Oryctolagus cuniculus: one gene and its partners. The protein of the gene in region 6 binds, or shares a complex with, the protein of the main gene of each other region. Links are inferred from orthologs where the notes say so. Each region holds a gene or a part of one and is shown on either strand. Other genes may lie near its edges.

Region 1 (3,500 bases), on a different chromosome or scaffold from region 6:
AGCATGGATGGGACCCTCACGGCAGCAGCAGGGCTGAATAAGGGCAAGGCCATTTCTTTGGGGGGCAACACCAGCGGGGTCGGTGGAGCTTTCATCTTATCGTCTCTGCCTTTATCTTTACCTTTCTCTTTTTCTCTCTTATCTTTATCTTTTTTGCCTTTTTCTCTGTCTTTCTTCTTATCTTTATGTTTCTCTTTCTCCTTCCTCACAATTCCATCTTTCAATCTCACTTTGGAATCAACTTCTTCAAATTCTTTTATTTTAAACTTATAGGGATCTGAGTCTTCATCTTTCAGAAATTCCTTCCATGGATACTTGGCTTCTTTGCTGGCTTCCTTTTCCTTCTCTTTCTCCTTCACTTTCTCCTTCTCCTTATTTTTTTCCTTGCTTTTGTCTTTCTCCCTCTCCTTATCTCTCTGCTTTTCTTTCTTTTTCATTTTAGTCTTTAGTTCCTTTTTCAACTTCTTCTTTACCTCCACTGAGGAAGGCAGTTTGGGTTTCTCCTCATATACCTTGTGGAGAGGTTCGGGAGTGGGAGGAGAAACTGAAGGGGAAGAGGTGTAAGTAAAGTTGGGAGGCATATTTGCCGGTGTTCCCATCTTTGCTTTACGCACAACCTCATCAATCGAGGCGTCCATTGTCCATGAGTTATCAGAACTTGAGGTTCCACCAGAAAGAGGCAGAGGAGTGGATCCTGACTTCGTGAAATTGTTTGAGGAAGTAGAAGCTTTTGGAGTGGCACACTCCGAACCTGAAATTCTCTTAGGGCTGGTAAAAATATCTCCTTCGGATTCTGATCCAGAAGAAAATGCAAAAGGATCTGGCTCTCGTTCAGCACAGGCTCGTGCAATCACAGCATCAATAGAGTCATCTATTGTTTTATCTGTGACAACAGCCTTTTTCGGCTGAATCTCACTGTTCAGTTTCCCAGCATCGGGGGGTGTTTGTGCTTGTTTCACCTGAATGGTCTCTTTATTGATTTTTTCACTTATTGTAGCTGAAGGAGTCCTATTTGGTGTTTCAGGTCTGACAGGTGGTTGGGGAATATGAGTCATAACCTTGGGGCTCTTGGGGCTCTTGGGGCTCTTAGAACGTCCAGGTGATTTCTTTTCTTTGGATATAGTTTTTGGTGACCGAATAGGACTTCCAACCATTGCTGGGGACTGGGTGGTTTTAGGTGACTTAGTCTTCTGCCCTGGAGAACTTGTTTTAGTCTTAGTTTTAGGAGTAAAAGACTTTGCTTCTAATGGTTTTGCAGTTGGCATTTGTGATTTTGCAACTGGAGCCAACATTGGTGGCTCTGGTGATGGAGGTGCTAAGTCTGTATTGTCCTGTACATGGACTGGAGAAAGCATTGGTGGAATCTTTTGAGGATTTATTGAGCTGAGTGGTTCTCGAGCTTCCAATAATACTATATCTAAGTTGTCTCCTTTCGTGCTTAACAGTCGTGGTCGCTTCATGACTGGCATTTCTTCAGCTTCAGGACTATCCAATGGTCTTTTACCCAAGAAATTCTCATCATTAATAATTTCCTCCTCCTCCAGTTCATCATCTTCTTCCAGGGGAACTTGCATGGCTTCTGCTGATGTGCCTCCATCAGTGGGTACCTGCTCTTCTTCTTCCTCTGGCAAAGGATGAAAAAAGAAGTATTAATGGAATGTAACACAGTCTAACAAATAAAAACAATGCTTCAAACAGGCTTCATTGGAAAGACAGAAATTTACTGACAGTATTCAAAGACTAAATCTTATTCAAAGACTAAGATTTCAAGGATTTTCCAAAGCTGTGTGCCATCAGTCTTTTAAGAGTGCCATGTGACAGCAGATTATAAACTAGTTATTTCCCTTTTAAGTAGTGTGGCTCTAACTTCAGGACCTGGAGTTCGCTAAGTATTTCCAGTTTGTCTTCCCCTGCTTCCTTAATTAATTCTTTTCCTAACTTGAGTAAATACTCTCCTTCTCTTTCCATGCCCCTTTCATGTGTAGACACATGCGTGCCCCTCTCTCAAAGTCAAATGACAGAAAGGCATAATTTTAAAGGGCTTCTATAACCAGTTTTGATTTTTTGGACACAATTCACATGCCACCTTGTATCTTCTGTTTTATTTGCTTGGTATCAGACAATATGGTCTAATGGAACACATTCGGCTTGCCCAATGGTGTTTCAGATAGAGTTCTGGCACAACAGAGCAAAAGATATTAGGCACTCTCTTAACCTCTTTGAGTCTGTTTCTTGACCTTTCAAAAGGGGATAATGTTACTTGCTTGCCAGCTTGACTGAGATGTTGTAAAATCAGATTATTTGTTATTATTAACAAAGCATATAATGCACAGTGTTAAGGGGTGAAAGAGCTAATGGAATAAATCAAAAATAAATCATGACCTAAAACAGCTCACAGATCAGCAGGGGAAATAATATATGTGTACAGCACATAGCAAGTGATTAGTGCCATAAATAAAGCGCCACAGCAATTCAAAGGAGAAGCAGATTACTGCAATGCCATGCACGTGCTGAACACTTTGATAATTATGTGGAATCCAGGGTGTTATGGAGCATTTGGGGCTGTTGGAGGCTGGGAGCTGGAAATCCAAGATGAAGGGTCAGATGACAAAGAGAAGGAGGTGAAACACAGGAAGTATATAAGCACCAAGGATCATTTAATTTGTCTGGAAAGCAGGGTATAAAATGGGTAGGAAAGGGGAGGAGTAAAACGTTTAGTAACATTGGATTCAGACTCTAGAACTTTGGAATTCTGCAAGAATGAACAAAGATCTTTTTTCTTTTGGTAGTTTGGACCTAGTGACAGTTTTTACAAAACAGAGGAAAACACCAAGCATGTGTATTAGGAAAATTATACTGGCAGGAACACACAGGATGGCTAGGGATTCTAAGTGGGGGGAGTTAGGGGTTTTTGAAATGATGTAGGTAAGAGGCAATAAGGGTCAGGACTAGAATAACGGTAATAAATAGGAAGCAATGAAGGCCAATGATATAGTAAAGATAGAATAGAGTATGATAAATGAATAGGTGTAAGAGTTGAGGAAGAGCTCAAACACAATTTCCAGGTGCTGAGCCCTGCTGAGTAATAAATGCAGTCAATAACAGAAATAGGAAATAGTGGAGTCAGAGCTGTGGCGCAGCAGGTAATGTGGGCGCCTGTTTGAGTCTTGGCTGCTCCACTTCTGACCCAGCTCTTTGCTATGGCCTAGGAAAGTAGTGGAAGATGGTCCAGGTCCCTGGGTCCCTGTACTCGTGTGGGAGAACCGGAAGAAGTGCCTGGCTCCTAATTGGCCCAGCTCCAGCTGTTGCAGCCATTTGAAGAATGAACCAGCAGATAGAAGACCTCTCTCTCTCTCTCTCTCTGCTTCTGCCTCTTCGTAACTCTGCATTTCAAATAAATAAATAAATAACTTAAAAAAAAAAACAGGAAATAGAGAAGGATGATGATTACTAGCTTAATCTCTAGATACAGTTTTTGATAAATATTTTACTCAGTGATG
Region 2 (3,500 bases), on a different chromosome or scaffold from region 6:
AGTGACATCCACTGCAGTGAGGCCCTGCCAATGGGGGAAAAAATGTTCCATAGTAAATAATACTGTTTTAGGGTGGGCATTGTGGCACAGCAAGTTAAGCCACTGCTTGAGATGCCCACATCCTGTAACAGTGCCTGGTTAGAATCCCAGTTACTCTATGCTTCTGATCCAATTGCTTACTAATGTGGTTGGGAGGCAGAGGACGATGACCCAAGCAACCGAGCTACCACCAACCACACAGGATATTGGACAGAATTCCTGGCTTTCAGCTTTGGCCTGGCCTAGCACTGACTATTGCCAACTTTTGGGAAATAAACCAACTGATCAATAACTCTATCTTTATGTCTCTCCATGCTCCATCACTCTTCCTTTTAAATAAATGTCTTTCAAAAAAAAATACTATCTTAGAAGAAAAATTACAGTCACATCTTAAGAGAATATAGAATGATGGCTGTTTTTCTCAAATAAAACATCATTTGAGCTTTTGTTCTATAAAAGCATTTACTTGGAGAGCATGTCATTACTGATCCCTTTTTTGCCCTCCATATTTAAGAGTGCACAGGAATTAAATGTTAATCACTTTTGTACTTTATTAAATATATCTTTCACAACCTATTACAAAGAGACATAAAGACATAGAATTCCTAACACATAAGCTTATATAAGTATTTAAACCAAGTGTAGAACAGATGGGTCATAATTTCCTCCTGAAACGTTAGCAGAATTCTGATCAGTGAAATGGAGTTCAAATATAAGTGAGATTCTGGTATTTACAAGTTCCTAATGGTTTTTTTTTTTTTTTTCTTTTTCTTTTCTTTCTTTCTTTTTTTTTTTTTTTTTTTTTTTTTTTTTTTTTTTTTTTTTTTTTTTGACAGGCAGAGTGGACAGTGAGAGAGAGAGACAGAGAGAAAGGTCTTCCTTTTGCCGTTGATTCACCCTCCAATGGCCGCTGCAGCCGGCGCGCTGCAGCCGGTGCATCGTGCTGATCCGAAGCCAGGAGCCAGGTGCTTATCCTGGTCTCCCAGGGGGTGCAGGGCCCAAGCACTTAAGCCATCCTCCACTGCACTCCCGGGCCACAGCAGAGAGCTGGCCTGGAAGAGGGGCAACCGGGACAGAATCCGGTGCCCCGACCGGGACTAGAACCCGGTGTGCCGGCACCGCAAGGTGGAGGATTAGCCTAGTGAGCCACAGCGCCGGCCCCTAATGGTCTTTTAAACATTGCTTTCTATCGACTGTGCACAGCATCCAATTCTCCTTTCCTAATTACTGTAATTCTAAATTATATCAAGAGTTCAAATAATAAAACTCCATTTTAATTAACACATTTAACTTTGTCTTAATGGTAAATCACAATTTTAAATAACTCTCCAACAAGAAATTGTCCACTTATTTTACTAACCTGGTAAGCATTGAGGAATGTATAGAAACAAATAGATGGTAAACAGTCTGGTCCAAGGCGCACTCGTTTGGTGGTTTCTTTCATATTCATTATCTTATCCAACTTATCTGAGTCTTTCAACTCAGGAAGAGGGATTCTGTGAAAGAAAAACAGGCTGGAAATCACCCTGTGAACATTCACAAACTTGAGCTCTCTAAAACATACTGCCTCACACCTCCAGACAAGTTCCCAAGGCCTTCTGCCTCACCTGTTCTGAGGTGGAGCATTGGGATCTTGCTTTTTACTTTTGGATCCAACACTATCTTTTCTAGGCTTCTTCTTTTTAGGTTTTCCTTCTTCATTTTCTCCCTCTTCATCCTCATCATCCAAAGGCACCTCAATTTCTGGTTCTTTTAATAAACCAAAAAATACCTACAAGTTAAGAGAACCCAACATTTTAAATTTTTTGTTCAGCAATATACCTTTTCACATCTTGACAGGATGAATCACAAGTACAGAACAGTAATTTATAATCTGAAGCAGGGCTCTGTACTTATTTGCCAAGCAGCAATTTTCTCTTTTTTCCTTATAAACAGAACCCTGATTTAACTGGAGCAGCAAGTGCTTAATAATTTGTGTTCCCAGGCTCCTTTACAGTTAAGAATGCAATGCCCATATAACATAATTCTGGCCACCAAATACACACAGAAACATCGTGGTTATGGTTTCAGAGGGGAACATAAAAACCACATACACACACTTTTCCTAACACTAAGGGCGAGACCCAGCAGGGATATATGCCTTTCATCCTCCCTCTTCCTTTTTAGAACACAGCTGCAATGCTGGAGCCACAACAGCCGTTCGTGAGCACAAAGAAGCAAACCACATGCTAAACACGGTGGACCAGAAACTAGAAGGAGCCAGGGACACCCATGGCATGATGGGGCTACCATGGCAGCATTGGAAGGCCTTCCTCTAGATTCCATCTTACATGAGGAAAAACCTCTTGGGTTTTACACTGTAGTCAGGTTTCTTTTAAATGTAACCATTCCCCACATCTCATATACTTATACATTGTCCTTAAAATATGAAACTTTAAACACAGGATAAAAGTATTCCCAAACTAGCTACAAGAAAAATTTTATTTAGATGGAAATGCTACAATTTTTCATCATCTGCATTATATAGTTCTTAGTTTTATCCCATACCTTTGATTTGTTTGCCTCTCGTTTAGCCTCTCCTGCCAAACTTCCCACCATCGCATCTATCTGCTGCTTACTACGCGGCATCCCATCAAAGATGTCAATGTAGAGGTGCTCCTGAACTATGTTCCATATCTGATTGTTCTGTTTCTCCTGAAGATGCCTCTTCAAGAGTTGGTACGAGTCACGGGAAATACGCAGAACAAATTTACTTGTTCGAAAATCCAACATGGTCTCATTCCCTTTCATGTGTTCCTTTTTGGTAAGACTAGATAATACTCGTAGGTCATCCTGGTAATAACATTCCTGATCTCCATGGAACCTGTTTCAGTGATTTTAAAAAGTCATTTTTCAATGTAATCATTAAGGGATCCGCCTCTCCCCCAAATATTTATAAACCATCCCAGAATATTTTCAATGTAGTAGTCTGAATAATCCTGAACCAATAAGCTGTAGGAATAGAAGGAATTCATTTCAAAATCGTTATAATTCAGTTTCTGAATTCATCCTAAAAATGACCGATTTAATAATCTAATGAAATTATCAAATATATAAAATAGTCTTAAATAAATACCATAAATGAATTAATGATACTGGTACAAAATTTCTTTTGAATGCCACCTTTGGTAGACATTTGGAAATGTCAGTATCCTTGCTTTACTAAATTTTATGTTTTATCAAAACCTACTTTTTAAATCTATTACGGAAAATTTCAAGCATACATAAAAGTAGAAAACAGTATAATGAACTCAATACATCTATCACAGCTTCTCAACAATAATCAATATATGGCATTTTCATAAATCTACTACTTTTAATCATTTCCTATGTCCTTAATATCAGACATTGATTAAATACCAATATTTTAATATTATGACTAAAGAACAAACTGTGACACCAAACAATAAGCATGTTCATTT
Region 3 (3,957 bases), on a different chromosome or scaffold from region 6:
GCGTCTTCCCTTTCACCTGCTGTTAAATCGGAGACGTCCTGACTTTTGAGCTGGGAAGATGAAAAGAACTCTATTATATATTTGTCCTACTTTCCAGGCTTGGCTAAGGTTAAGACATCATCCTCATAACACAACAGATCCACTTATTGTGTAGTTTTTTTGTCCCAGAACTGACTGTTCCACCCAGTATAAGATACAGTATCTCTCCTCAAGGAAGGTTAGTTAGGCTGTAGAAAGAACCAGTTAAATAATCTAGTTTTCCAGTTTAGCTATGATCACAGCTTCAGTGTCTGTATACAAGGATAAAGAAATGGCCAAGATCATGAAAACCACTCTCTCCATGGACTCTCTCTCCTGCTCATTCCTTACAGGGGATGTCACCAAAGCCCTCTCCAGCCAGCCAGCTCTTCTCCTCTGGATCCAAAGATATTTTTACTATTGACGATTCAATTTAGAAAGATTATTAAAAAGGAGGCCCTGGAGTGAAAATCTGAGATGCTGGTTGGGATGTCCATGTCCCCTATTAGAGTGTCTGAGCTGTTTTGGGCATTTGGAGTGTGAATCAGCAGATAGGCCATTTTTTTTTTCTAATAAGTACATTCTTTGAAAATCAAAAATATGTAGGGGCCAATGCTGTGGCATAGTGGGTTAAGCTGCTGTCTGCAGCACTGGCATCTCATATGAGTGCCAGTTCAAGTCCTGGCTGCTCTACTTCTGATCCAGCTCCCTGCTAATGTGCTTGGGAAAGCAGCAGAAGATGGCCCAAAGATGGCCCAAGTCCTTGGGCCCCTGCACCCATGTGGGAGACCTGGAAGAAGCTACTGACTCCTGGCTTCAGCCTGGCCCAGCTCTAGCCACTGTGACCATTTGGGGGAATGAACAGGCAGATGGAAGCTTGCTCACTCCCCACCCCCCACCCCCAACTTTGTGATTCTGACTTAAAGAATATTAATAAATATTTTACATACTTACATGCATTATGTTACATATTTAAAGCTAATCCACAGTGCTGGCCCCAACATAATCAATTTTTATCGAAAGGCAGAGTTACAGAGAGAGGGAGAGACAGAGTTCTTCCATCTGCTAGTTCACTCCCCAATTGGTCACAACCACCAGGGCTGGGCCAGGTGGAAGCCAGAAGTCCTACATGGGTGCAGGTGCTCAACTTGGGCCACCTTCAGCTGCCTTCCCAGGCACATCAGCAAGGGCCTAGACTGGAAGCGGAGCAGCCAGAACTGAACCAGTGCCCATATGGGATTCTGGGGTTGCAGGTAGCTTAACCTGCTGTGCCACAATGCTGGTCTTTGATTAATTTTTTTTTTTTTTTTTTTTTTTTTTTTTTTTTACAGGCAGAGTGGACAGTGAGAGAGAGAGAGACAGAGAGAAAGGTCTTCCTTTGCCGTTGGTTCACCCTCCAATGGCCGCCGCGGCCGGCGCGCTGCAGCCGGCGCACCGCGCTGATCCGATGGCAGGAGCCAGGTGCTTCTCCTGGTCTCCCATGGGGTGCAGGGCCCAAGGACTTGGGCCATCCTCCACTGCACTCCCTGGCCACAGCAGAGGGCTGGCCTGGAAGAGGGGCAACCGGGACAGAATCTGGCGCCCTGACTGGGACTAGAACCCGGTGTGCCGGCGCCGCAAGGCGGAGGATTAGCCTAGTGAGCCGCGGCGCCGGCCTAATTTTTAAAAATGTTTCAAAAGCATCATAATTCTATCCTCTGCTGGCTCCAAACTTCTATATTGTAGTGAGCTCCTTTAGTGGACCATGCTAATTATTCAATTCCTTTGCGTCCTTGAGACCCATTTTAACTTTTCCTTCTTCAGCTTTGTCAACTGTCTTCTCTTTTTCTAAAAGCTTACCGTGTATGTTTTGGTGACAAGGCTATCCATCTAACGTTCAGTCCATGAGCTCTTCAGTTCCTTCTGCCTCTAAGATCCTAGAAATTCTCTCTTTAGAAAAGGAACCCACAGGACGCTGAGATTCTGGTCGCGATTGTTGCGCGGTTAGGCAACCCTGCTGAGCTATCCTGAGAGCACAGCTGATGGATTTGGTGTTTTTACGTTATAGAAACCCCTGGACATTAGCACGGAGGACACTGCAGCAGCTGGATGAGAATATGACTTCAAAGTCTCCCGTTAACAGATCTGATCAACTCTGCCTCCTGTAAAGACGAAAGCTGTACTTAAACAACAATTAACTAAGAGGACCTATAGTGCGGTGAAAGGCGCGCTGGGAATCCTGGATTTTGGCTCTTGCACTAAGTCTCGGGATGACAGTACCGACTTCATCAATAGGAAAACCAAGAAGCTATTTAAAATTCACTTAGATGTAGCTTTAATCCCGAAAGGCAAGGACTAAACATATTAAAACCTAATGCTCGAGTCTCTGGAACCAAACCAGCACCACAGTTTTGTTGCTCCTCCCACACTCCCCGGACGGCAGATCTAGAGGGAATCGTGGCGAGCTCCGGGTAACACAATCCCGGCGTATGCCTCCAACCTCAGTCACACTTCTCTGCCTACCTCGCCTTCCTCCGCTGCCGCTTCTTTCAAGTCCGCGTCTCCGTCTCCGTCCGCTTCCTCCGGGATCCCGTCCGTGTCCGCAGTCCCCGGGCCCCCAGGAGCAGCAGTCGTCTCGTCTGACTCCCCTGCTTCCCCACCTTTGTCCGCAGGAGACTCGCGGGCATTGTCCATCACAGCTAGAACGGCAAGGGGAGGAGATCGCGGTGCTGTCGGCCGCGGAGCTCCGGACCTCGCGCGGCACAGTGGGCGCTTACTTCCTGTCGTCGCACCGCGATGTCGTCACCACTACTGGTCCTCGGAAGGGCCATGGGGGGCGCGCGGAGCACCTGAGGGCTCCGTTTGAATCCTGGGTGGGTGGTGCTGGAGAGAGAACGCTGAGGGTGCAAAGTCCCCTGTGGATCCGTCCTTGGAGACCAGCACCTGTGAAGAAGTGCAGTTGTGCTTCCTGAAGGGTTTCTTTTTCCTTTCCGTCGTTCTAAGAATGCTTTGTCAGTTAACCTCTTCCTCAAAGTTGGAGGACCTGGGAGAAAACTGCTCCTTTTGTACGCGGCTGTCGCGTAACCTTGGGGTAGCAAACTTTCAGGCAGGGACTCAACCTCCTTTATTTCACCTGGACAGACTGCGGGCCTGACTTTACATTGAATTGCCACCATTTCCCCTCTACGAATATTTCACGAGCACCTTAAAAAAAAAAAGTCCTATTGCTTGAGCAGTGTTTATCCAACCCATTCATTCACTCCACGAGTGTTGACTGCCTGTTTCTGAGTCCGGAGCAGCGCTAGTACAGGGAAAAAACATTTTCTACCGAATTAAATGATTTTTCCAGTTCGCCAGTGCTGAAAATCGGGATAGGTTTCTCAAGCCTGACTTCTGTTACCCACTCAGTCTCATCATGAGGAATCCCTACAGGGTGGGAGGTCTCTCCTTTGAGCGCTTCACTTTAATGAGCCATTTCACGGATTGGGATGGTGAAGGGGCTAGGATATTTCTGCTTTTAAAATGTCCTGCCTTTTTTCATTGAGGCACGCGGAGGGAGGGGCAGGGCGTTTTATTCACCTCTGTATTACCAGGCTCCCGCACCTGTTACATACTGCTTTATGCTTAAAGAACGGACTTGGAAATGTAGGTGCGTATTACCATATTTCTCTCTTTGTTTCCACACCGCCGGGACGAATTACCGTATTTCCTGTCCCGTGAGCTCCCAAAACCTTTGGAAAAGAAGCGCACTTTGGAGGCGTACACAGGTGGGTCCCCTTTGTCCCTTTCCACTTCTTCAATGGGTACCCACATGGCACTGCCCCATTGACCCCCAAGTCCTGTCCTGACACACCAAGGTCCACCTGCACAGGGACGCGGAGCCCCGCCCAGCTAGGTGGGCAAGGGGGCGGGGCATGGGGGCGCGGTGACGCGTGACGCCGGATCCCGGAAGTGACGCGC
Region 4 (3,997 bases), on a different chromosome or scaffold from region 6:
GACCAGTGAAGCTATTTGGGAATGCATTTCTTTTTACTTTACAATCCTAAAGCATTATTCTTTTCATGTTTCCTACGATTAGGTCCAAAACTGCAAAACAAACAAACAAACAAAAAACAACTTCTTACACGTTTAAACTGTCTGATAAAGCTCAAAATCAAGGAGTCATACCCAGAGTTAAAAGCTTTTGGAGGGGGCTGACGCTGTGATGCAGGTGCCGGCACCCCATATAGGCACCGGTTCAAATCTCAGCTGCTCTACTTCTGATCTAGCTCTCTGCTATGGCCTGGGAAAGCAGTAGCGTATGGCCCAAGGCTTTTGGCCCCTGCACCCACGTGGGAGACACAGAGGAAGCTCCTGGCTCCTGGCGGCCATTTGGGGAGTGAACCAGCAGATGGAAGATCTCTTTCTCTCTAATTCTTTCAAATAAATATAATAAATCTTAAATGAAAAAAAAAAAGCTTTTGGAGGAACACACCTAGATAATTCCCAAGGAAAATGTGCTATCAAGGCATAATATTTATGAGGCATGGTACACACAGCACAGTGCTAAGGCCAAGTTCAGGTGTATAAATATGCTGCTCAATTTTATAGCCTCTGTAATGTCTTGGACATAAAGCTCAATAAATACTGAGTTGTACCCAATATAGTTTGGCGTGAAAGAAGCTGTGCAGACACAATGATAAATAAGATATTTTTATAAATACAGCAATCTTACCTCTTTAGAATACATTAGCCACAAACTGTGCCTATATCTGGCTTTTCTCAATCATTTCTACCATCTCCTGAAACTACTTCCTGATGAAAGAACCAAGCGACTAGTGAAAAACTTTTCAGCACAGTTCACTCCAACGTGCTGGCTGTGAGAACTGACTGAGCACCATGGGGGTGGGCTGGCTGAGTTAAAATAAAACATCAAGTACAAACACAGAACAATGTTAGCTACCATTATTGGTTTTCATTCCAACATAGCGCTCATAGGTCTCAGGGGTCAAGTTGTTCAAAGACCCATGTGCACCTCAAGTTGTGCTGGTAGAGTAAGCACTCAGATGCATGCTGGATGAACGGAAGAATCATCACTCTGAGAGGGCAAAGGGCCCCAAAAGCTGTCTATCCTATATGCTCATCACTGAAAAACAGACACACACAAAAAGCTCAACTTCTGAAAAGAAATGTACCAAAGATGTAAGAAAACTGTACTTTCTTTAGACGTTGCTGTAGTAACAGAAGTGCTGTTGATGTACAGCCGAAGAGGACACTGTCGGCATCAAGTAGTTCCACGTGCAACTGCGTAACGACTGCTCTACTAGTAACAAAATCAGATACCCGCGAAGTTCATCTCAGAAACCAGCACGCACGCCTGTAACCTGTACCCAGCACCAGGTCTTGCCCATACAACAGCACTTCAAAGAACACACAGAGAATGGATCACAGATGTGTTTAGTCTGGTCCAAACGATTTTGAAATCTGTGTATAATTTTTCACGATACACGCTTTCCATGAACTTCTTGGAGAGCCCTTTAGTAGTGGCTCATGGGTGAACGAACGCACGTACGCCACAGAAGACGGGACTAACAGGCGAGTGCTCGCAGAGAGGGCCTGTTTTCACAAAGCAAGGACCGTGCAACCTGGGTCTGGCAAGGTGAGTAGGAAATCATGAATCAGCGGCTCTGGCAACAGAGAAATTAAACGAGAGACAAGGATGGAGAGAGCAGCGCGCAGCAGCAAGCAACTTGGGGTCACACGGGCAGCAGGCGCAGCACCAGCACCCCAGCTTGGCACGCGTGGGGATACATCGGGGCAGTGAAGCCGAGGGCCGCAAGCCCAGTTTCGGGGTCACTGTCACGGCTGCGGCAAGAGATGAGGGCAGGATCACAGCACCCAACTGCGACGAGGCTGTTCCAGACCCCTGTTCCGAGCGCTCCTCTCACTCCCGGCCACGCGCTCACCGTCTTCCCCTCCCTGCATACTGAAACTGCGTTAGGCGCCTTACTGCACTGACTCTCCCTTCAACAGAGGCTCGCGTGCAAGGTCTTCATCTTCCGGAAACCCAAGACCAGGCTGCGTGTCCCCTGAGGTCATCCAATGAACTCTGTCTACTCCCGCGTCCGCACACGCAGCCAGGCGGGATCCTCTCCCCGAGGGGCCTCCCTGGCCGTCTAAGGACAGAGGTGCGCGTCTGCCTCGGACGTCCACCGCGCCTAAAGCTCGGACTTCCACAAATCGTTAGCAAGTGTCACGCGCGACTGTAAAATAAAACCGACCCCTGCGGGTAGCGAAGCCAGCGGGCACCGGCCAGAGAGGATGGGCGGAGGGTGCCAGCCAGGCGGCGCAGGCTCCGGGTCTGCCCCACCCTCGTGCGGGGAGAAGCCGTTTTCCACCCACAGCACAGCCGCGCACCGGGATGGAGCGGCGGCCGAACGGCCGGTACAGGCCCGAGCGGCGGCGGCTCGAGCGAGAGGAACCTCGGTCCCCGCGGGGCCTGCGCGCCCATTCCGCGTCTCCGCCCGCCACCGCCCCTGGGCCTCGCTGCAGCGGCCGCCTCCGCCAGCGCCCTCGAAAAAGAGAGAGAGTTAAAGGGCCAGGTACCTGGGTGCCGGCAGAGATCATCAAGGGCCTGCGGAAGCGAAGTTAAGCCGCAGGCTGCTCAGGCCCCGCCACAGCAACCCTACCCGACCCCACCGAACTCCAGGCGCGCGCTGATAATGTCACTTCCGCCAGTTCTGTCCGCGGCGTCAGCAGGCTGCACGCGCTGAAGGCGCGGCCATGGTAAGTGTGGGCGCGGGATCCTTCCGGTTTCTCCTGGGCGCTGGGCTCAAGGGAAATGAGGGGCGGAGCTCGTCGGAGTTCCGGGGCGGGGCCTCCTCTCCATAGCCTTTTCTAATTGGTGCTTTCTGGAAGTAAGGAAAGTTAATAATTGAAAAAAGTTTTTTAAACCAACTAGAGGTGTAACCTTGGCAAGTTAACATTTGCCTCGGGGTCTTTTTATTTTAGGATGAGTTCTTTCTAGTCTAAACTTGTTTTCTCTTTGACATTTCTTTTTATTTTGAAAGGTAGACACAGACGCGGAGGAGTCCCCTCCTAGTGCCCAGAAAGCCCTGGCCAGGCCAGTGTCCCGCGTGGGTGGCGAGGACCCAGCCGCGGGAGTGACGCCCGGCGTCCCCGGGCGACGGCGTCGTAGAGCGGCCGCGGGGCCCAGGAAGTAACCGCGTGGGCGGTGCGCGCGTGCTCCTCGCCGCGGGTGTGGGCCGCTCCGCAGCACGCGGGGCACCGGGTTGCGGATTCGTCGGGGCTTTCATTCCGCTGGGGCCGTCTTAGCAGGCTTCGCACTGTCGCCACGCGGCCGTCGTGGTCTTCCCGGCCGCTTCCTTCTGTGGTCACTTGGACGCGACCACGGGGGCAGTTTGTGCTACCAGTGAGGTCCTGAGCTCCGGAATCCAGGACAGTGCCTGGCAGTGCGTTGACCTACGGAGACCAGAGCGAGTACAATACTGGACTTTGTCGAAGACAAAGGCCATCTCTGGCCTTGTTCTCCTTTGCAGCAAAGCACGGGAGAGTTTTACACAAGCCCTTTAAAAAGTCTTCTCTGGTTCCAGAATTGGATGTGACCAGAAGTTAGCCAAACTGGTTAGCCAATCGCTTGCTTGCTCGCATTTATAATGGAACAAATAAGAAAGTGCATAAAGACTTGCCCAATTAACAAACAGTTGTGTCAAGTGACTACTGCCGGCAGGACACCCTGCCACCCCTCGGTGTGAAGTCTGCGTCCTGCTCAGCGTCCTCCTGCGTGGAGGATCTGCTCCGCACCTGCCACTGCTTGCAGTTGGCTCCCTGTGACCCCACTCGGGTCCTCTGCTCATCCTGCCGAGGTGACATTCATTGCTTCCAGTTTGGGGCCACTGAGAGCCAGGCTATGGGAACGTCCCTGTGCGTGTCACTGGCGTGGGAGATGCCGCCGGGAAACCTGTCCGCGGATCCCAAGAAGTATGGGAACGTC
Region 5 (3,942 bases), on a different chromosome or scaffold from region 6:
TATTGGACACTTAGTATCTTCTTTTTCTGTAGGCTCCGGATAGAGCACAAATTCCATAATAGGAATCTGTCTCTGCTTTTGTACCCTCTCACAATACCTAACAGTACCAATAATTCCACTAGCCGACTGCAAGAAAAACAAAAACAAAAACAAAAACAAAAACCCAACACTAAAGCATCCCCTTACCTTCTCGAGCTAAATCACCCACATTAACGTATTTCAGTCCTGATCTTGATGCAAGTTCTTTGCCTAGTGTGGTTTTCCCAACCCCTGGAGTACCTGTAAGACAAATCACAGAAAAATGCCTATGAAATACTATTATAGACTTCAACTACTTCCACCCTTTGTAAGGTTCTTAACAACTTTCCTAGTAGGAAAGCAACCAGATGTGAATATACAAAAATAGTAGTAAGCAACCAGATGTGAATATACAAAACCAACTAAACAAAATCTCCCAGGGCAGGTGTCTGTAGAGGTTAGGATGCCCACCTCCCATGTTTGAGTTTAGACTAAGTTCGGTATTTGGCTCTGACTCCTGACTTCAGCTTCCTGCCAATGCAGATCCCAGGAGGCAGAGGACTGCTCAAGTATCCAGGTAGCAGGACTGAGCTGACTTCCTGGTTTCTGGCAGCACAGGCATTTGGGGAGTCCATCAGTGGATGAGAACATGCATGAGTGCTCTCCCGAATTAAAAAAATTTTTCTGCAAAAAAGCTCTGGATGTCAGAATCACGCAATGTTTCTCCATGGGTGGGAATACAAATTCTGACTGCTGCCACCAACGTCAGACTGCCCACAATAAAATCAGCCACCTCAAATCAATTACTGTCATTTATTTGCTTTTATTTTAAAAGATTAAGAAATTGTTCATTGGCCGGCACCGCAGCTCACTAGGTTAATCCTCCGCCTGCGGCACAGGCACTCCGGGGTCTAGTCCCGGTGGGGGCGCCGGATTCTGTCCCAGTTGCTCCTCTTCCAGTCCAGCTCTCTTCTGTGGCCTGGGAGTGCAGTGGAGGATGGCCCAAGTGCTTGGGCCCTGCACCCCATGGGAGACCAGGAGAAGCACCTGGCTCCTGGCTTCGGATCGGCGCAGCGCGCCAGCCGTAACAACCATTTGGGGGGTGAACCAACAGAAGGAAGACCTTTCTCTCTGTTTCTCTCTCTCACTGTCTAACTCTGCCTGTCCAAAAAGAAAAAAAAAAAAAAAAAAAAAAAATTGCTCATGGAACAAACCTTAGTCTGGGAACCACTGTAACTAGTCTTTTGCATACCTTTCCGAAGAAGTCCTATGCATGTGTGTCTATACACAGAAGTAGGTGTAGGTAGCATATCCTATGTGCAAAAACACATGCCACTTGTATTGCCTTTTACATAAATGGTAATACTATGCATTGTTCTATACCTTTCCCCTTTTACGTCTAAAAGAATTATATTCCAAGATAATCAAACGCATAATTTTCAGCTTCTCAATGTTTAATGACACTTTAATGATTACATCTGAGCATTATTAACATGTATAAATCCAATCTCCACATGCAGGACATTTAACCCCTGTCTACTATATTATACCAAGTCTGAACCCTGGACTCAACTTTCATTAAAATATTCACACCAGATTTTTTTTTTACAGCATTAATCAGGACACTAATCCATGCAAATCAGATGCTGCAAAATCTTCATCATAATGAATCTCACAGGCTAAAAACTCACTAGCTGAGGGGCTACTGCGCAGCACCTAGGAACAATCTTTGTGGGCTGCCAAAAATGTCAAGTTTCGTTAAATGTTGAAGGGAAAAAACCTTTTCAGGGTTCAGGGCTGTGGAGTAGGGGCAAAGCCGCTGCCTTCCACTCCAGCACCCTGTACGAGTGCCCGTGGTGTCTGGCTGCTCCACTTCAGTCCGGCTCCCTGCTCAGGGCCGGGGGAAAGCAGTGGCAGACGGCTCAACTGCTTGGGCCCCTGCCACCCGTGCAGGAGACCCGGGTGAAGCTCCTGGCTTTGCCTGGCTCAGCCCCCGCCACTGCGATCCTGCCGGGAGTGAACCAGCGCAGCAGATGCGAGATCTGCGTCTCCTCCCTCCCTCTCCCTGTAACTTTCAAACAAACAAATCTTCAAAAAAAAAAAAAAAAAACACAACTCTTCACAATCTCTTAATACTTCGATACGCTCCATAGATTCCCCCACGAACGGCGCAGGACGCTCTCAACGGACACGTCTCAGGCCTAGAGGCCCAGCGTTCTAGCCGCTTCGCTGGCCACAGCGGGTCAGTGTCCGAGACCCGCAGGGGCTCACGAGCAGCCGGGGGCTCCACAGCGTGCGCTCCCATCACAAAGGGAGGCAGGCGCCTGGACACTACCCCAGCACACGGCCGCAGTGACTGCACGCGCTCCGCCACGCCGCCAGCACCCGCGCCCACCCGCGAAGGCCCACGACGCGAGGCCTCCGCCATGGCCGACACGCTTCCGCACGTTACCTCCGGGAAACCCCAAAGCAACCCGACCAGAGACGCCAAAGCTGGCTTTCCGAGCAGAACACCAGGGTCTCTATTATAAAGATAACGGAGCCTGCCCACACCGGAGCGCCGGGTCCCGGCCGGCTTCCCCGCGCCCCGCGGCCGCCCCCGCCCCGCGCCGCGTCCGCAGGCCCCGGCCACCGTCGCGCCCCGCGGCCCCCGCCCGGCCGCCCGCTGCAGCCCGGCGCTCCCCGCCCGGCGCCCGGAGCCCCCCGCGCGTCCCGTCCCCGCCGCGCGCCCTGACCGGTGAGCAGAATGTTCGGCAGCCGCATAGTCGTCCCGGCGGACGCCCCGAGCGCCTCCTCTGCGCGCGCCCTACGCACCGCGAGGAGGAGCCGGAAGGGGCGGGCAGCGCCAGCGCCGGCGGCCGCGGGGTCCTCGAGGCCGTGCCGGGCGCCCGCTCCCGGCCCAGCTCCGCAGTCCCAGCCGCCGCCAGCGGTTCCCTGGGCTTCTGTGACACGCTTCCGTGGCGTGAATGGAGGCCGGGAGCCAGCTCGCTGCGCGCTCTGAGTCAGGCAGTGCGCTGGATGCCTATGTCGCTCGCGCGCCTGGGGCCCCCGCCCTTCGCGCCGCGTCGCCGAGGCGCCGACGGGTGTGGAAGGACCCCGGGAGGCGGGACCCCCGAGAGGCTCGGTGCCGAGCCCGGGGAGGGTCGGGTGGCCACCCCAACACCGGAGCCGGCCCCGCGCTCCTTGGCTCCTCTCCGCCCACGAGGGAGGGGAATGCGGCTCCCGGAAAGTAAGGCCGTCGCGGTTGTGGCGGTGTTTTCTGTGTGTGTCCTGGACGCGCGAGCCCATCTCTGCCTCCATGCCCTCCCGTCCCGCCTGGGACGAGAGAGACGGGGTTGCGGTGCCCCGGCCTGGAGCGGGGACCGACGAGCTCAGCCTGGCTGCCGGCTGGTTGCAGGATGGCGCTGAACGAATGTCTGAGCTCAGGACCGGCTGTGCAGCGCGTGGGGTGGTGGTGGGTGGGCTCGGGATGGTCCTGAACGTGTCTTCTGCCTCTGACATCTAATTTCAGGAAACGGGCATCGTCGCTGACAGTTACCTGCTTTTCCAAGGAGGTAATTGTCGGTCTCGCTTTCACTGAGCGGCTGCAGTGCTGACTGTCGGCTACATTGAATCGATTTTTTTTTTTTTTTTTTTTTTTTTTTTGCTACTGTGCATTGCTGATAGCGGTCTACTCTCAGAGGTGAATGACTGCCAGTGTGTGGAAGTGTGCCTCCTCAGATAGTCCAGTACACCTTCCCAGGGTACAGTTTGTTGGCCTTGAAAATCGTTCCTCCTGGCGGCCCTAAAATGGTTGAATTCACTGCTTTCCATCAGTATTGACGAATCACGCAAATCGGAAAACAGTGATGCCAAGACGTTTTCTGATGGCGTGCTCAAAGGAAGTTCTAGAAAAACTGACAGTGAGATTCAACTGTTTTATTC
Region 6 (3,268 bases):
GGAGTGCAGTGGAGGATGGCCCAGGTGCTTGGGCCCTGCACCCCATGGGAGACCAGGAAAAGCACCTGGCTCCTGGCTCCTGCCAGGATCAGCGCGGTGCGCCGGCTGCAGCGGCGGCCATTGGAGGGTGAACCAACGGCAAAGGAAGACCTTTCTCTCTCTCTCTCTCTCTCTCACTGTCCACTCTGCCTGTCAAAAAAAAAAAAAAAAAAAAAAGGGTAAAGCAGGCCTTCATCTACAAATACTAGAGTAGTTTAGAATGGCTCTGTATCTCATGTTTTCCAGCCTCCTGATGGAGCAGGTGGATTAGAACCTTAATAGAATGCAAAGATGACATTTCCCAATTTCTGCTATGTTCCTTTTTTTTTTTTTTTTTAACCCACAACTGCTTCTTTACCTGCAAAGCAGGACCAAACTGACCAATCATTAAACTCTACCGAGAAACCACCTCAAAAGATTATCTGACTCCTATTACCAATGAAAAAATCAAGACACATAAGTTGAAAATTAGTCGCTTTTATTTATGTTAGAAACCTTATGAAATTATTTGCATCTCTACATGTGTGAAACTGCTTTGATTTAACTGAGAAAATAGTTAGGGAAACATATGCAAACCAACTTCATTGCCTCTACACTAGGTTCTTACCTATCTCAGAAGGCACCACATGGCAGCAATAGCAGCTTCCGGGAAATGGGGAAACAGCAGCAAAGTCCTGCAATGCAGCTGTGAATATTAGGGTTCAGCTGTTCATTCCACTAACCCTACAACTTCCTAACAATTACATTACTGCCTAGTCAATCCTAATTCTATAGAATGAACACCTAGCAAAGTGCTTCTTGAAAACAAGATAATTTAAAAAGAACTTCTAGCATTAGAAGGAACGGGAACTACTGCAAAATCTTAAAATCCAGAAAAAGTGATGAAGATTTTCTTAGTGTGGAACCATCAGGTTCAAAATGATCAAAATTCTTCTTACTTCTCTAGGAGTGACTCCAGCTCTTCCTGCAAAGAGCTGAGCTGCTCCTTTTCTCGGTCTTCCTTTTGTTTTAACTCATCCAGCACAGCCTGAAATCTGTTCTTGAGAGCCAGGTTTTCCACCTTCATGATGAGATCCTCCTGTCGCTTGGCCCTGTCCTGGGTCTCCTGGAGCTTGCCTTTCATGTTGTCAATCTGCTTCTGAATGCCCATAACCAGCTGGTTGGTCCCTTCGTTTTCTTGGTGCTGTTCATCTGACTCATTCAGCTTGTCCTGCAGCTGTCTCTCCAGGTCTTCCTCAGTGTCGATGATGTTTATATCTTCTTCGTCCTGGTGCTGGGTGTCATCTTCATCCTCGCTGCTGCTGCTGAGGTCATTGAATATCTCCCGAAGCTCATCGTGCTCCAGGGAGTCCTGGCCCTGCCTGTGGCCAGACATTCCTGGGGAAGAGATGTCAAGGCCTTGATTCTCCGTCTCTTTTGTTTCATCTTCAGCAATTATCTCCCAGCGAGTACTGACAGCTTCCGCATCTGTACTCAGCAACCGCTTCACTTCTTTCTCCACGTCTGGAGACTCAATATACTTTTTCTTTGCTGTCTTCCGGAATCTTCTCTTTCTGACATTCTTTAGAGGCAGAGTAATTCCATGGTTCCAGACGAACTTTTTCTCTTTGTCCTTATCCTTTTTCTTGCTTGCTTTGGGGTCAGCAGCAGCAACTGGCTCCTCCACAGGGGGATAAAGATCACCATCAACTGTGGACACGAGCATCTGACAGATATCAGCAGTCTTGTAAAAGGTTTTTTTATCGATGGTTTTCAAGCTTTCCATAACACACGGCAGATCCACCAGTTTTGAGGCCAGAGGGACCCGGTCCACTCTGACAATTCCATGACGCCCATCGGGGTGTAACTCGATGGTCAGTCTGTCTTTCAGGTTGACATGCCCCGACTGCACTGCCCTCCTCACAGTAGCAGCATATTCTGGAGGCAGGCGCAAGATAAACTGGCTCTCCAGCTCATGAGGGGCATCATCTTTGCTCTTACTCATCTTCACTTCTTTCTGACTCCCTTCTCCTAATAAACACTTGCTGCACTGAAAAGTTTCAGCTACTGCAACAATTTAAAAGACCAGTTCCTTATGAATTAAAATCTAACAACAGAAGGTTCTATGCAGAACAGTAGCTAAGCATCTGTTTTGTCTTAATTTTTAATCAAGCCACAAATCTTTTCTCTAAATATGCTGCACTCCACACCCGCTGTTTGTTACCGACACACTGGCTTATTCAGAGAATTAAGTCCATTTAAAGCCTGGAGCTGCAATGCCGAGTTCCAGCCTCTAGGTGCCGCCTCCAGACAATGCAGACAGAGCAAGCGGGCGAGCGAGCGAGCAGGAAAGCAAATGGCGGCTCCTGCAGAATGAAGACGGCACAAAATTAGGACAAGCAGTCAACACCGACCCAAACCCTCCCGAAACAAGCATAACTGAAAAAGCGGGACGCAGCGAGCTGCCTTTGCCTCGGGTACTTACAATCCAGTGACGGTTATAAATTCAGCTTCGCGCCGGGCGCAGGCGGCGGGGGGAGGAAGCCACTCGCTGCAAAGCGGCGGGGAGCCTCTTCTCTCGCCGACTCCTTTGTTCTTCCTGCTGCTCAGCTGAGTGATCCGCTACTGATTACCAATGCTTCGGTCCCGGCGGGAAGCGCGAAATTTCGCCGAGACGCGCTGCGCAGAGCCACACACCGGAGGCTCCGCAGGCGTCTGCCTGCAGCCGCTTGCAGAGCTGGCTTTAAAGCCGCGCTGCGTCACGGCGCGGGGCGGGAAGCGGCCGTGAGTGACAGCACGGCCGGGCGGAAAGACGGCCCGCCCCGAGCGCGCGCAGACGCAGTCGCGGCGCTGCGATTCCGGCCGGGACTCGTTCTCTGGATCCAGGGGAATTGTTTTAGGGCGTGAAAATGAAGTTTCCTGCCGACCTAGTTTGAAAATAAGAGATAACGATTGCAGGAAGGTCACAGAGCCTCCCCCTGCTGAGACAGCATTTGTACCGGACCGGCAAGCGCCGAGATAGCGTCTAGACTTCGGGGGTCAGGGCATGTTTGCAGAAAGCGTTTTGCTTCGGGAAACGTCTCGCGTGTTCCCCAGGAGTTACCCATTCTGGTGTCGGTGCAGGAATTTGTAACTAACCACAAAGTGGATTTAAAAGTTCCCAAATCAATGGCGTAAGGAGAGCATGCTGTCCACTGTGTGGTTCTGTGTGTATTTTAATTATGAAAGTGCCCGGAGGGGGACCGTGCTT
Region 7 (4,111 bases), on a different chromosome or scaffold from region 6:
GGCTGACATTCCACATCAGAGTGCTTGTTTGACTCCCATCTACTCTACTTCGAATCCAGCTTCCTGCTGCTGTGATTCTGGAAGGCAGCAGGTGATGGCTCAGGTACTGTGGCCACTGCCACCCATGTAAGAGACCCAAATGGCATTCTGGGCAACTGGCATCCGCCTGGCCTAGCCAAGCCTCAGCTGTTGTGGGCATGAGCGAACCATCAGATGGAAGATCTCTGTCTTTTTCTGTCACTCTGCCTTTCAAATAAATTTCAAATAAAAAAGACATACTGATGTGCAGTTTTAACATCACATGTAAACTGCTCGTATCTGTCCCAACCTTAATAAACAGGTATTCTTAAATCTGTGTTGTCTCATCTCTCAATACCCAGCTATATAGATATAAAGGAATCCGTACTGGGAGATAAAAAGCTATTCTCATGATGACTTTTAAATGTTGTCCTGGACTATCAGCAGTAGGAACAGATCTCCTTTCTTCATGCTGCTGTCTAAAAAGGGTAAAATCTGTCTACTGAGGGAGTGGGACAAAGCACTAACACATTATATTATCTTCATGCCATTGTATGTCTCACATTGTTCCTCACCTTCCTGCCCTGTTCACTGCCCTTAGTCCAAAGTCTCAACTTAGCCCCTACCCTCAGCACCTGTTTCAGTGCCCACAGTCAAAAGAACTCCTGCTTCTACTGTTGCAAAGGTAAGGGCCAGGAAAACGTGGAGGTATATTGTTTTGTCCTGAATTGAAACACTGATCATATTTGTTAGGAAACTGGTGCAGTTTTATCCATGGCGCTATCTACACCATGATTTACATCCTATGCCCCGGTTCTCACAGCCATTGCTGAAAGCCATGTAGCCACATGGCCCAACCACCAGTGTCAAGCTCCACCCCCATCCTAACGGGATTCGCTGCTCCTGTTTCCCTGCCCGCCCTCTGGCAAAGTTTAAAAGGGCCTGTTCCTGAACAGGCGGCACTCTTGGCTCTTCTCTCCTGTTCTCTTGGCTCCTCTCGTCTCTCTTCTCTCCTCACTAGCTCCTCTACTCTCCGTGTCTCTTTCTCTTATACTCTCCTCTCCCTTTTTCCCTTCATCACCTCACCCTTCCGGTCTGCTGGCTTTTCTCAATAAACCCTTTCCCTTACTCCGGAGTTTGGTGTGTTTTTGTGACAGCCTAACAGAAAGACATAACAATATTCCCTCACTTAAATTCTGTACAATTTAAAACACAATTATACGTTAAACTGGGGTTAGTATCTGTGATTCAAAAATTAAACTGAGGGGCTGGTGCTGTGGCGCAGCAGGTTAAAGCTCAGGCCTGAAGCGCTGGCATCCCATATGGGCACCGGTTCTAGTCCTGGCTGCTCCTCTTCCGATCCAGCTCTCTGCTATGGCCTGGGAAAGTAGTAGAAGATGGCACAAGTCCTTGGGCCCCTGCACCCGCATGGAAGAAGCTCCTGGCTCCTGGCTTCGGATCGGCACAGCTCCAGCCATTGCGGCCATCTGGGGAGTGAACCACAGGATGGAAGACCTACCTCTCTCTCTGACTCTGCCTCACTCTGTAACTCTTTCAAATAAAATAAAAATAAATCTTTTAAAAAAAGGCAAAAATTAAATTGAACTTTACTGGCAATTTTGAGAATATTATCCTTGCAAACATTTTCAGAATATAAATCTATTCCAAAGGACATGTCCAAAAGTTTGCATGATCTATAATAAAATCACTGTCAAATACTACTTACATTCTTTAGAAAAGAGTCTCTTTCTTTTACCCTGTCCACCTTCTGCACCTCCTCCAATTTCTTCATTTTCTTCCTCAAACTAGAAGTTAAAATGTATATATAGAAATGTCAAGTGATTGCATTGCATTTGATATTTTAATAACTTGCTTTCATTTTTAACACTAATATCAGGCCAAAACGCTTAAAAGCAAGCACTAAAAAATCATGATAACTTAGCACTAAAGAGCCCTTAGAGACTACCTAGTCAAAATTTCAATTCCCGCAAAAATGGTTTCTACACTGTCCACAACAATCCTGCCTAGACACGTAAGCCTTTTAACAGCCGCAAGTTCTTTTTGTTTAAAACCAACTAAGTTGGTCTACTGCTAGCCAGTGTTGCCATTCAAGGACCGATACTGAATCAAAGCCTACCTCCCTGCAGCAAAAAAGGAAAAATTTTAACTAAGCACCTGCTTATACAGTGCTAAAACCTTTCCTTATCTGTTTTAACCTTATTTTATATCAAGAACAACCGATGCTGAAAGTTAAATAACTTGTTCGGTGAGAATGGAGATTTTGAAATCCAGGCTTCTGATTTGTGGTCCGTTATTTCTCCAACACTTCACAATAAATATCCAATTCTGTTAGCAGCTAGATTGTTGGTTCATTTAACGAGCACCAACAAATACGAGTGATTAGCTCTGACGATCGTCTAGTTTCACAAAGTGTCTAGCAGATTCAGCCCGAATCCGAAGGGAAAGGGGCTACCTTCCCACTACTTCACGTCCTGCCCCGGAGTACTAAAACCATGAAGCTGAAGGAAAAGACAAGCACAACTGGTCCCCGAACTCTCTCGACTGAATTCACTAAGGAAAACACCCCATTCTGAACTCTGCTTCCGTCACTAAGCCTGAGCGAAAGGGAGGATTGGGACAAAGGCGGTCACTCACGGTGGGATCTTCTTCCTCATCTGCCATTACACTAGCCCGACAACCTACTGTGCCGCGCCGGCTCGCTCTCAGCGGGTTTTTACTACTTCCGTTGCGTCACTTCCGGTGACGTAGGGGGCGGGGCCGGGTCCCCGCAAACACGCCTGGGAGGGGGAGCTGCCTAGCGACCGCTGAGAGAGACGGTCTGTAGGGTAGCAGCGTGAGCTCTGGGTTCTGTAATCCCGAGGAAGGAACTAAAATTTAGCAAACTGAAAGAAATGCACCAGGCAGTGTGTATCCTCTTATCACCCTACATCTCCTTGTGCGTGTTGAATCCACCTTTCCTGACCTGGAGCGTAGGAGGGCGATCCCGCGGTCTTGCTCTGAGGGGTGTATTTTAAAGTGCAATGAGTTACGCCTGCACTATTGATCCCAAGCACTTTGTTAATTATTGTGGGGTACTATATTTCACTACTAGTTCTCAAGGGGGCGCTATCCTTAGAGACGATTTAAAATTTTCTGGAGAAGAATTTGGGTTTTAACAATGAGAACACGCAGTAAGAGGCTGGAGTTGACATAAAATATCCTGCAACCTAAGGGATGATGCCACACGATAAAAAAGTCCAATAATACACACGATTTCTCTATGTCCTGCTGAACATTCAATGACTGAAAATATTATTTTATATAAACTATTTTTCCCATGCTTTTAATGAACATTGGATTTCCTGTGACTGTTACTTCTTCAAAATTGGTGATCTGTTGCATTTTGCTTTGTTTGGAACTTATTAAGAGGAAATACTGCCACCAAAGGCAATATCGCTTGTAATTTAAATAGTGCTCACCTGGAATCTGCCTACATTTGTAGTTCCTACATTCGAGGTAAATTTACATCTAGGTACAAGCAACCACATTGTTATTATACCTCCTGTGTTGTCATGCCTGAGAATTTACGTGTTAAAAACATATTAATAGGCCGGCGCCGCGGCTCACTAGGCTAATCCTCCGCCTTGCGGCGCCGGCACACCGGGTTCTAGTCCCGGTCGGGGCGCCGGATTCTGTCCCGGTTGCCCCTCTTCCAGGCCAGCTCTCTGCTGTGGCCAGGGAGTGCAGTGGAGGATGGCCCAGGTGCTTGGGCCCTGCACCCCATGGGAGACCAGGAAAAGCACCTGGCTCCTGGCTCCTGCCATCGGACCGGTGCGGTGCGCCGGTCGCAGCGCGCCGGCCGCGGCGGCCATTGGAGGGTGAACCAACGGCAAAGGAAGACCTTTCTCTCTGTCTCTCTCTCTCACTGTCCACTCTGCCTGTCAAAAAAATAAATAAATAAAATAAAAAAAATAAAAAAAACATATTAATAGATTCTTTTATATTTATTTCTTATTTGGGCATTTTTTGATAAGTTCTCATTTTAGTTTCAGGATTTAACAATTTTCAGCATTTTGCCACATTGTATTTTTTA

The links.
Region 1: TAF7 (region 6) and TAF3 share a complex: the UniProt entries of both Homo sapiens proteins name them as parts of the TFIID basal transcription factor complex. The link is inferred for Oryctolagus cuniculus from reciprocal best matches to the Homo sapiens genes TAF7 and TAF3.
Region 2: TAF7 (region 6) and TAF5 share a complex: the UniProt entries of both Homo sapiens proteins name them as parts of the TFIID basal transcription factor complex. The link is inferred for Oryctolagus cuniculus from reciprocal best matches to the Homo sapiens genes TAF7 and TAF5.
Region 3: TAF7 (region 6) and TAF11 share a complex: the UniProt entries of both Homo sapiens proteins name them as parts of the TFIID basal transcription factor complex. The link is inferred for Oryctolagus cuniculus from reciprocal best matches to the Homo sapiens genes TAF7 and TAF11.
Region 4: TAF7 (region 6) and TBP share a complex: the UniProt entries of both Homo sapiens proteins name them as parts of the TFIID-containing RNA polymerase II pre-initiation complex. The link is inferred for Oryctolagus cuniculus from reciprocal best matches to the Homo sapiens genes TAF7 and TBP.
Region 5: TAF7 (region 6) and TAF9 share a complex: the UniProt entries of both Homo sapiens proteins name them as parts of the TFIID basal transcription factor complex. The link is inferred for Oryctolagus cuniculus from reciprocal best matches to the Homo sapiens genes TAF7 and TAF9.
Region 7: TAF7 (region 6) and TAF13 share a complex: the UniProt entries of both Homo sapiens proteins name them as parts of the TFIID basal transcription factor complex. The link is inferred for Oryctolagus cuniculus from reciprocal best matches to the Homo sapiens genes TAF7 and TAF13.

Annotation. Positions count from the first base shown.
Region 1 is NC_091444.1:75,310,815-75,314,314, forward strand, and holds part of TAF3 (transcription initiation factor TFIID subunit 3), read right to left. Parts: intron 1,625-3,500; coding exon 1-1,624. UniProt on the Homo sapiens protein: The TFIID basal transcription factor complex plays a major role in the initiation of RNA polymerase II (Pol II)-dependent transcription.
Region 2 is NC_091446.1:26,638,826-26,642,325, forward strand, and holds part of TAF5 (transcription initiation factor TFIID subunit 5), read right to left. Parts: intron 2,903-3,500; coding exon 2,587-2,902; intron 1,811-2,586; coding exon 1,647-1,810; intron 1,536-1,646; coding exon 1,400-1,535; intron 25-1,399; coding exon 1-24. UniProt on the Homo sapiens protein: The TFIID basal transcription factor complex plays a major role in the initiation of RNA polymerase II (Pol II)-dependent transcription.
Region 3 is NC_091436.1:134,549,826-134,553,782, reverse strand, and holds the start of TAF11 (transcription initiation factor TFIID subunit 11), read right to left. Parts: upstream 2,801-3,957; 5' UTR 2,692-2,800; coding exon 2,521-2,691; intron 51-2,520; coding exon 1-50. UniProt on the Homo sapiens protein: The TFIID basal transcription factor complex plays a major role in the initiation of RNA polymerase II (Pol II)-dependent transcription.
Region 4 is NC_091436.1:55,085-59,081, forward strand, and holds the start of TBP (TATA-box-binding protein), read right to left. Parts: upstream 2,801-3,997; 5' UTR 2,590-2,800; intron 1-2,589. UniProt on the Homo sapiens protein: The TFIID basal transcription factor complex plays a major role in the initiation of RNA polymerase II (Pol II)-dependent transcription.
Region 5 is NC_091445.1:90,326,944-90,330,885, forward strand, and holds the start of TAF9 (transcription initiation factor TFIID subunit 9), read right to left. Parts: upstream 2,801-3,942; 5' UTR 2,754-2,800; exon of another isoform or gene 2,681-2,753; intron 2,463-2,680; exon of another isoform or gene 2,447-2,462; coding exon of another isoform or gene 2,155-2,446; intron 280-2,154; coding exon of another isoform or gene 187-279; intron 1-186. Other genes in the region: AK6 (adenylate kinase isoenzyme 6), read right to left, coding at 187-279, 2,155-2,446; cell cycle checkpoint protein RAD17, read left to right, coding at 3,037-3,247. UniProt on the Homo sapiens protein: The TFIID basal transcription factor complex plays a major role in the initiation of RNA polymerase II (Pol II)-dependent transcription.
Region 6 is NC_091437.1:28,859,471-28,862,738, forward strand, and holds TAF7 (transcription initiation factor TFIID subunit 7), read right to left. Parts: upstream 2,024-3,268; coding exon 974-2,023; 3' UTR 501-973; downstream 1-500. UniProt on the Homo sapiens protein: The TFIID basal transcription factor complex plays a major role in the initiation of RNA polymerase II (Pol II)-dependent transcription.
Region 7 is NC_091438.1:61,355,587-61,359,697, reverse strand, and holds the start of TAF13 (transcription initiation factor TFIID subunit 13), read right to left. Parts: upstream 2,801-4,111; 5' UTR 2,701-2,800; coding exon 2,674-2,700; intron 1,824-2,673; coding exon 1,745-1,823; intron 1-1,744. UniProt on the Homo sapiens protein: The TFIID basal transcription factor complex plays a major role in the initiation of RNA polymerase II (Pol II)-dependent transcription.